Nothobranchius furzeri: one gene and its partner. The protein of the gene in region 1 binds, or shares a complex with, the protein of each later gene. Links are inferred from orthologs where the notes say so. Each region holds a gene or a part of one and is shown on either strand. Other genes may lie near its edges.

What was found. Proteins that work in one complex are often made in the same cells at the same time.
Region 2: the proteins of rpl8 (region 1) and riox1 are in contact, whole or in part, in a crystal structure (PDB 4CCN), measured with the Homo sapiens proteins. The link is inferred for Nothobranchius furzeri from reciprocal best matches to the Homo sapiens genes RPL8 and RIOX1. Residues at the interface, in NP_000964.1 of Homo sapiens: Gly213, Gly214, Asn215, His216, Gln217, His218, Ile219, Lys221, Pro222; in NP_078920.2 of Homo sapiens: Gly259, Gln260, Arg272, Thr274, Arg297, Met322, Ala323, Gly324, Ser325, Asn326, Tyr328, Phe337, His340, Asp342, Ile344, Ser374, Asn376, Thr419, Ser421, Thr422, Gln424, Tyr577.

What each region holds. Positions count from the first base shown.
Region 1 is NC_091754.1:29,838,213-29,842,414, reverse strand, and holds the start of rpl8 (large ribosomal subunit protein uL2), read left to right. Parts: upstream 1-1,367; 5' UTR 1,368-1,448; intron 1,449-2,077; 5' UTR 2,078-2,083; coding exon 2,084-2,221; intron 2,222-2,296; coding exon 2,297-2,438; intron 2,439-4,202. UniProt on the Homo sapiens protein: Component of the large ribosomal subunit. The ribosome is a large ribonucleoprotein complex responsible for the synthesis of proteins in the cell.
Region 2 is NC_091742.1:9,307,451-9,311,577, forward strand, and holds the start of riox1 (ribosomal oxygenase 1), read right to left. Parts: upstream 2,882-4,127; 5' UTR 2,865-2,881; coding exon 2,748-2,864; intron 2,624-2,747; coding exon 2,480-2,623; intron 2,396-2,479; coding exon 2,259-2,395; intron 1,934-2,258; coding exon 1,834-1,933; intron 1,727-1,833; coding exon 1,595-1,726; intron 1,493-1,594; coding exon 1,386-1,492; intron 1,317-1,385; coding exon 1,209-1,316; intron 946-1,208; coding exon 911-945; intron 785-910; coding exon 606-784; intron 1-605. UniProt on the Homo sapiens protein: Oxygenase that can act as both a histone lysine demethylase and a ribosomal histidine hydroxylase. Specifically demethylates 'Lys-4' (H3K4me) and 'Lys-36' (H3K36me) of histone H3, thereby playing a central role in histone code.

The DNA of each region.
Region 1 (4,202 bases):
ACCGGGCATCTCTCATCCACCCCTGGAGCCTTGCCAAAAAGGAGCTTTTTAACCACCTCAGTGACCTCAGCACCAGAGATTTGAGAGCCCAACTCAAAGTCCCCAGACTCTGCTTCCTCACTGGAAGATGTGACGGTGGGATTAAGGAGGTCTTCGAAGTATTCTGCCCACCGATCCAAAGCGTCCTGAGTAGAGGTCAGGTATCTTATTTTGAAATATCGAAGGTGAAGTAACATTTCAGGAGCGAATAAGAAGAGGGCGTTCCCATTTTTGGAGGGTGCGTTCTCACTTACAAACCAAACTCCTTTTAGTGGCTGGCTGGTGTCAGTACCAGATCTGCTCGTGCAGCCAGATCGGCTCGGGGTACCGCATCTGCAAATTACGTCACAGTAGATGATTGGCTGAACGTAAGACTTGCAGAAGTTACGATACCACATCCGTAAAAGTTATGTTAGCACATTGACAATGATGATTTTGATTGGTCAGAATGAATTTACGGTTGTAGTCTTAGTGGCTGTAGTCCTGTAGTCCCAAAATCAACACTTTTCGGAGAAAATGTGTTTGAATTTCCAAAGTAAATGTAAAATAAAATGCAAAGATATCAACTGATATCAAAGTCTCAAAAGCTCTTGATTTTTATGAAATATAGGGCAAAATAAAATTTAAGAACTTTACTGAAAAGACACCAAGCAACATTTTGAATGAATGAATGAATTAATTAATTAATTAATTAATTAATTAATTAATTAATTAATTAATTAATTAATTAATTAATTAATTTACATAGCAGCTAAGGAAAAATACAGACTAATTCCACATTTATACAAACAGATGTGGCTTCACATATATGAACTGTTGTCTTTTTTGGCAGTCTGACGGTTTTATGTAGTTTCACGTTCTGTATAAAACAAATATAATATGGTGTTTTATTAATAAATTACAATTATAAAGAAAACATTTAGGTAGTAGCAAACAAGAATTTATTAACAAAACTGCTGATCTGGTACCAGATCTGACAGATGATATTTATCACTGCACACAACCATTGTGTAAACACTGTTACATAGATATAAATTGAATTGTGTTTTTAGGTAAACGAAATAAGAAAAAGACAAAGACTTTATTATTGTAAAAACGATAGTAATGATTTTAAAGGTTTTGTCACCAAGCACCAACAAAGCTCAGAATTGTTGTCTACAAACCTGAGTGACTTTTGAATAAAATTGAATAATTGCAGACAACAGTTGGGATCCTGGCCTTCTCTAATCAGAATTAAACAGCATTTTGAATATTTTTTGAGTTCCATACAACTGCATTCTGAATTAAATTGACCATCTGTCTAGTTCGCGCCTTTAAAGAATACATTTCCCATCATTCCCTTAGTAGTTTCCCCGGAAGAAAACGTGCGATGTTTCTTTGTGCTTCCTCTTTCCGTCAGCGGAGTTTAGGTACGACAGCTATTTTCTGCTTCTCACCGTTTCATCGCTTGTTAATCATGACTTTTCTGTGTCATCCACATCAAACTAATACTTATATGTGTACACAAAATGTTCACATATTTAATTTAGGTAGCATTTTAACAGTTGGCTTGTCAAAAGCTATATTAAACTATTTTAAGTGCTTGGTGACATGGCGGAGTGGTAGCGCTGTTAGCGACTAAAAGGCCGGCTACTGTGCTTCACCAATTTGTGTTTTTAAGATGTACGGTACTTTAATCAAGGCGATGGAGAAATAAGATTGTAAATTAAAAGACTACACGTAAATCTTCGCTCACTGTTTAATGAACGGTGTTAGCGGTATTAGCTACTAAGCTAACACCGTAAAAGATGTTGTGGACATGTGAAGTTAAACCTGCTTTCATATGGCCCTAACAGCGGAAATATATAATAGTTTTTCTAACATTCCCTCTGTCAAAATCTTAATGTTTTTGTCCCAATACCTCAAACGTTTATGTAAAATTGACTATTAGTTTAAGAGTGTTTAAAAATGACAGGGTGAGCGTTGTTAGCCTTGCAAAGCATTGATTTGTAAAATTCCAATTAAATGTGGCCCTGAAGTACTCTGCTGTCTGTTTCAGAACACGATGGGACGTGTGATCAGGGGACAGAGAAAAGGTGCAGGCTCTGTGTTCAGAGCCCACGTTAAGCACAGGAAAGGTGCTGCTAAACTCCGTCACATTGACTTCGCTGAACGCCATGGTTACATCAAGGGGATTGTGAAGGTGGGTGATGCTTCAGAACTGGTTTTGGTCTTGTAGAGTGAGGCTGGTGTGAAGTTTTATACCTGATCCTCTCAGGATATCATCCATGACCCTGGCCGTGGTGCTCCCCTTGCCAAAGTGGCTTTCCGTGACCCATACCGGTTCAAGAAAAGGACAGAGCTCTTCATCGCTGCTGAGGGAATTCACACTGGACAGTTCATCTACTGCGGCAAGAAGGGTACGAAACTAAAGCTCCTTTCACTATTTAGATTTTGCATCCCAGGTACCCTTCACAGGTGCAGTATGTAAGAATAAAGTGAGCATTTTACAGTGAGAAAATCTCAAAAGAGTCAACATTTCAGTCATTTTGGAAGGACGGTTTTACTGAAACATATTTCATATCTAGATGGCTGTGAGGAATGTCAGTTTTTTTCCCTTTCAAAATAAAGGAAGGAGGGACATAACTACTTTTTACCATCAGTGAGTGTATATAATCAACAATGTTGATTATATATTTCTTCATCAAGTTGACGCAGTGATAGCTTGATCTTGTATTGTTGTTGTGTCCCATAATTTTTAGTTTTTTTTTTCTTGCCTCTTTCTGCAGGTCTAGAAGCAGACTCTTGTTCATTATTGTTTATTTTTGTGGACCCCCTTCCCCCTCTCTTCCCACCTTTTGTCTTTTCCTTTCTCTTTCACCTCTGTCTCCATGTTTGGTCGGAATTACAAAGCATTTAAAAACAATAACAAAGTTTTAAGTATCAGGCATGACATTAGAAGCAGACGCTTTGATGATCCACCTGAGAGTAAATCTGTAAGGCTTGTTACCAGCATTCAGACATCAATTCTGTTTGCTTCACAGCCAGACGGGACACGGTTAAAAAATAATAATGAGAGTTCCCAGACCCCTTCTCTGTGCAGAATTAAACAGAGGAGTCTGGCAGGCCAGGCTAGCCTGGTAAAGTCATAATATGCAAATTAAATGAGTGAATTTGCTCCCAACACAAACTTAAGTCTTACTGAAGATTTTTCTCTTACAGTTCACCTTTATCTCTATTTCCAAGCCACAACCTTTTGAAATTGTCATGTCAAAATTAGGGCTGAGTGTTTCTGGAAAGTAATCTAATTGCAAGTTTTTTTCTTCGATATTGCAATTGCGATTTAATTCATGATTATTTTCAACTAAGGAAACAAAAAAGAATTGGCATCCCTGTGGGTTTTTCCATGATATTAGCATTGTGCTAACCACTCGCTGCCAGTCAAATCGCAGTCTTTGTGATTAGAAAATAGTCACATCGCAATTTAATTGCATATGCAGTCAATCGTTCAGCTTGAGTCAAAATTAATTATGATCTTGAAAAAAAACTGGCGCCCAAATGGTTACGTTTAAATCTGGTCTGTGAGATTCCTTAATGCCTGTTTTCAATTGTATAGAACATTTGATGGTCCAGCCCTAAACAATTGGGTACATTTTCCAGAAGACCTTCACAATCTTCTTCAAAGGATATGCAAAATGTAGCTTTATGCAGACCTGTCTGTTAGCTGATTAGAAATACAATAATTTAATCAAGGTGTGTACTTGTTTTTCAATTTGAAGCTGTGCGAAAACTGTTAATTTATTCAGCTTTAAGAGGAAGTTTCACTGGTGTCGTGCTTTGCTTAAAATGAACACTTTTGTTGTTAAATCACATTCATGTTTGTTTTTAAATCTTCTCCTGTGTGTTTGGTTTATTTTACAGAAACTAATTTAGCCTCAATATAGGGCTGGGCGATATGGCCTCAAATCTGTATTGTGATATAATCTGAAGCATGTGCAGTAACGATATATATTGCGATATATTTTTTCCTCTGTTTATATATGTCAAAATGACATGCTTTTAGATATCCTCATGTGGCAAATATATGCCACTTGAGGCATATAGGCCTCCTCCTCCGCCCACTCCATGCTTGCAGTCACCGCCATTCTGTTGTCCCATTGTCAGCAGGGTGCTCATCTTAGTGA
Region 2 (4,127 bases), on another chromosome or scaffold:
TTTTAAAAAAAATGAATATCCGCCCCTCCAAAAACGAACATCCACACCACCTCGTTTTAAAAACAAACTCTGTCCACACGTACCCGGATAAATACGTTGTTAAGGACATGCCAGACCTGTAGGTGGCAGTACTTCTCCCGTTCTTAACCTCTTCCTTCGTCTGTGGTCTTCCGTAAGGAGCAGTAATTCCGCTTGCAAAAACAAACAAGCAAAAAGCGCTTGGACAATTGATAAAGCGAGCGCAGCTCTGAGGGCATCCATGCTGTCGGCTAGTGTAAACACAGGTCGCACACGTGATGTCAGCATTTTTTTGTCGCGGAAAGTGACGTTGCGGACCTTAAAACTCCGGTTTTGTCTGTCCACACGCAGACACCCAAAACGGAGAAAACGCAGATCTTCACTTTGGCCGGAGTTTTTAAAAAGATCCGTTTTCGTGTGAAAAAACTCAGTTTTCATGTGGATGACAGGCCAAAACGTCGAAAAATATCTACGTTTTGGCAGATCCCCGGCTACGTGTGGACAGGGCCTAAATCCCAATAATAAACATTTACGGCTGTGCTGCGTTATCTTAACAAGTAGAGCAGAGTTGGAAAACTAGTTTTAACCTTGTGCAGCAGATCCCCCCAGCTGTTTTTCTGGTACGATGAGATCGTGATGTGCAGAGAGTGTGCTTCTGGAAGGCAGTCGCCCTGATGGATGAACCCTCGGGGGAAGTAAAGGAGATCTCCGGCTTCTAGCACCACGTCCAGGATCGGCTTCCCGATGTCAGACTGATCAAAGTTAGCTGAGGAAATATCCCAAAGGAGAATCTTCTGAGGAACGTTTGCAACAAAGCTTTAAAAGATAAAACTGCTGCACATAACAAAACCTAACCATTTTCTCTATGAAATCATGCTAACAGTTTACTCACGACTTGAAAGTACGGGCAGAACTTCATCTTCCGATCTAGAACACAGAAAAACTAAGTAAAAACAAAGAATCCATGTGATAAATCAATGTTAACTCAGATGGTTGTCCATTAGGAACAGAGGCAAAAATGAATCAATTAGACCAGATCAAAACTATTTAGTGCATTTCTGACATTTTTACACTAAAAGGCAAAAGAAAACACATCAATGCGTCCAAATGTCACTTCAAATTTAGCCAGAATTGTTTAGTAAAATGTTAGCACGCTAAAAGGATCTAAAGCTGACTCTGTTTTAGTTCACCTCGGGCTGTAAACTCGCCAATGTTTCTTCCCCTCCAGCTGAACCACAAAGGCCTCGATGTCGTCATAATGTGGAGCAAAGCCTTGAGTTCCAGGCGGTGTCAGGTATCTGATTATATAAGAGATAATTAAAACATTTAAAACTGAGATTGGGCAAAAACAGACTTCTGAAACATACACATTGGCTCCTGCCATGCTGCCAAACTGCTCCTGGAGGATGGACAGCACGTTCCACACGGTGGAGGAGAACGCCTGAGGATTCAGCATGCGGACCGAGCAGCCGCTCTACAAAACAAAAACCACTTCTAGCTTTACACGTTTACATCATGCTGCAGTTCTGCACCGAGAGCAATTAGATCATAAATGAGACTATTGCACTGTTCTCACATCATAGAAGTCCCACACGGTGAAGGGCAGAGCTCTTCCTGGGGGATTGTAAGTTTCCCTCTTGCCGTTAACGTAGCTGGTCACATCCAGGTTCACGCCATACTGAACATCTTCCTTTACAGCAAAAGCTCTCTGGTTGAGTTTTGTTTTTATCTAACTGGCTCAATGTTAATAACATTTTTAGCAAAAAAATTCTAATAGAACTTGATAATTATTCTGAGATTTTTTTAGATCCTTACCTCCCTCAATATGCGATCAAACTCAGCCGTTGAAAACAGACCCTTGTAGTAATCTGGATTGCTGCGCTGCACAAAGACGGGCTTCTTTTCCCAGGTTTCTCTTAAAAAAGAAAACGGCAGTGTGTCTTTTAAAAATCTGCACGTGATGTCTTGCATTTTACCTAATTTTCTAGTTAAAACACTGAAACAATCCTTGCATCCTTCTTATTTCTGATGCTAAATCCAACCAGCTGTTATATAAAGCTGCATCTCACTCTGGAGGGTTTCCTGTAGCAGTTATGGTCAGTCTGCCACAGAAATAAAAAATGACTTGGGGGGGGGGGGGGGGGGGGTGTGATTGTGATGTGCAGTTACATAAAAACACACTAAAATGATGGTTCAACAGAGGAGCTCCAGTGTGGTCGAATCAAGTTGATAAAAACTACCTGAAAAAGTCTTTGATGGGAACGGGTCTCATGATCCACTGAAGCAGCTTCCTGGCTCTCTCCCTGCTGTTGTTGACTTTAGCCAGCTCAGTCAGAACAGCCTCTAAAGACTCTCCAATAACACACTTCTGCACCTCCTAAACACACACACACACACACACAAGTATTGTTACCACAGGTGATTCAGTATCTTCATTGAAACACCAGGTCCGCATCCTTACCTTAGCATCGGTCACTGGCGGCAGGAACTCCTCTCTCTGGGCTGCCTTCAGGAGCTTTTGCCGGAACTTCTTCCTCTTTGCCTTTAACGCTTTAACACTGACAGCTGGAGCCGCACTAACTTTCCTCTTTTTCTTCACTTCCACCTGATGAATCATACATGTGAGGGCAAAAACCAAACGCAGCCGAGATGATGGAGAAAACAAAGTGCAGAGAAACAACTAAATTAACGGGAAATGTGGAGTCGACATAAATGTTAAACACTCGCACCTGGATGGAGGGCTTCTCAGCAGGAGGTGGACCCTTTGGCCGCAGACCTTGATACAGAGAAAAGGCAGACATGTGTTTTCTCTCCATTTCTCCCAGTTGCTCAGACGTCATCACCATGCGACGGTTTCTTCTGTAAACCCTTCTGTAGATCTATGTCTTTATTGACTCACTACCGCCCCCTAAAGAATCGCGTCATAAACTACAGACGCAAACACAGAATTTTTCACATTTGAACAAAGATAAATAAACGAATAAACAAACAGATGACAATTTTAAATGTCAGCTAAACAAATAAATATTTTTTTCTTCTTTCATCCCTGCTGTCTTGAACGTATTAAGTTGCAAACGTGTGTGTGTGTGTGTGTGTGTGTGTGTGTGTGTGTGTGTGTGTGTGTGTGTGTGTGTGCATATATGTATATATTTTTTTATAAAGGATTAACTCAATTTTCAGATTCAAAACACGTTGTCCATGGCTCAGAAATACCAAATTCCCCATAAAATACCTGCAACAAAATATTAGCTGTCTTATTATTTAAAGCTGAATAACTGCTACAGTATGCAATGTTATTTATGTTTATGTATTAATGTATTATGTATTTTCGCTAAGTCTTTTTGTATTTGTTATTTGTATGGCCTTTTGGGGTTTGGATATAAGAGGAAATTAATTGTTAGTCACGTTTCTTTGTAGGCCTAGTGTGCAATGACAATACAATTACTGTTATTATTATTATCATTGTTAATATAATATCTTGATTTTTTATGTAAAAGCAGGTAAAGAGGCCGTAGAAGTGTCAGAAATATGTGACTGTGATTTTTCCCTTCACTTTGTTATTAGTCGATCACATTTTGATGACCTTCTTCAAAACAAAGCAGAAATACAAACATTTTTTATCCTTTTTTGGTTACACATAAAGACACTTTATGTAGAGACGCCAAACCACCACCAGGGGGTGCGGTTTCTCCTGTTTTCACCCGTGCGTTGAAGGCTCAGATCTCTGAGCATCGTTTCCCATAATGCTTTGCTGCGTCCAGCCGTCTCTCCAACAATGCAGCTTTTAATGGAGCTCTGAACGCTGCGAGATGGAAACGATGCGATACCACAAGCTTGTCCGGGGACTCTAGTCGTCCTGAATATACCCTGGGATATTTCTACCGTTCGTCAAACCCCTCGGGTGGTTTTACCTCATTTTCGGGACGTACCGGACCGTTTTCTCAGCGGTAAGTAGCCTCTGTAGCTAGCGTCGCTCCTGAGTAAATACATTTTGTTGTGACCACTGCTGGCTAACAGGCCAAATGAGACATATGGCTGCTTATGTCTTTTCTCTCATCTTCACCACTGAAACATGATGTCCTCATTTTAATTCTGATCGGGACATCAAG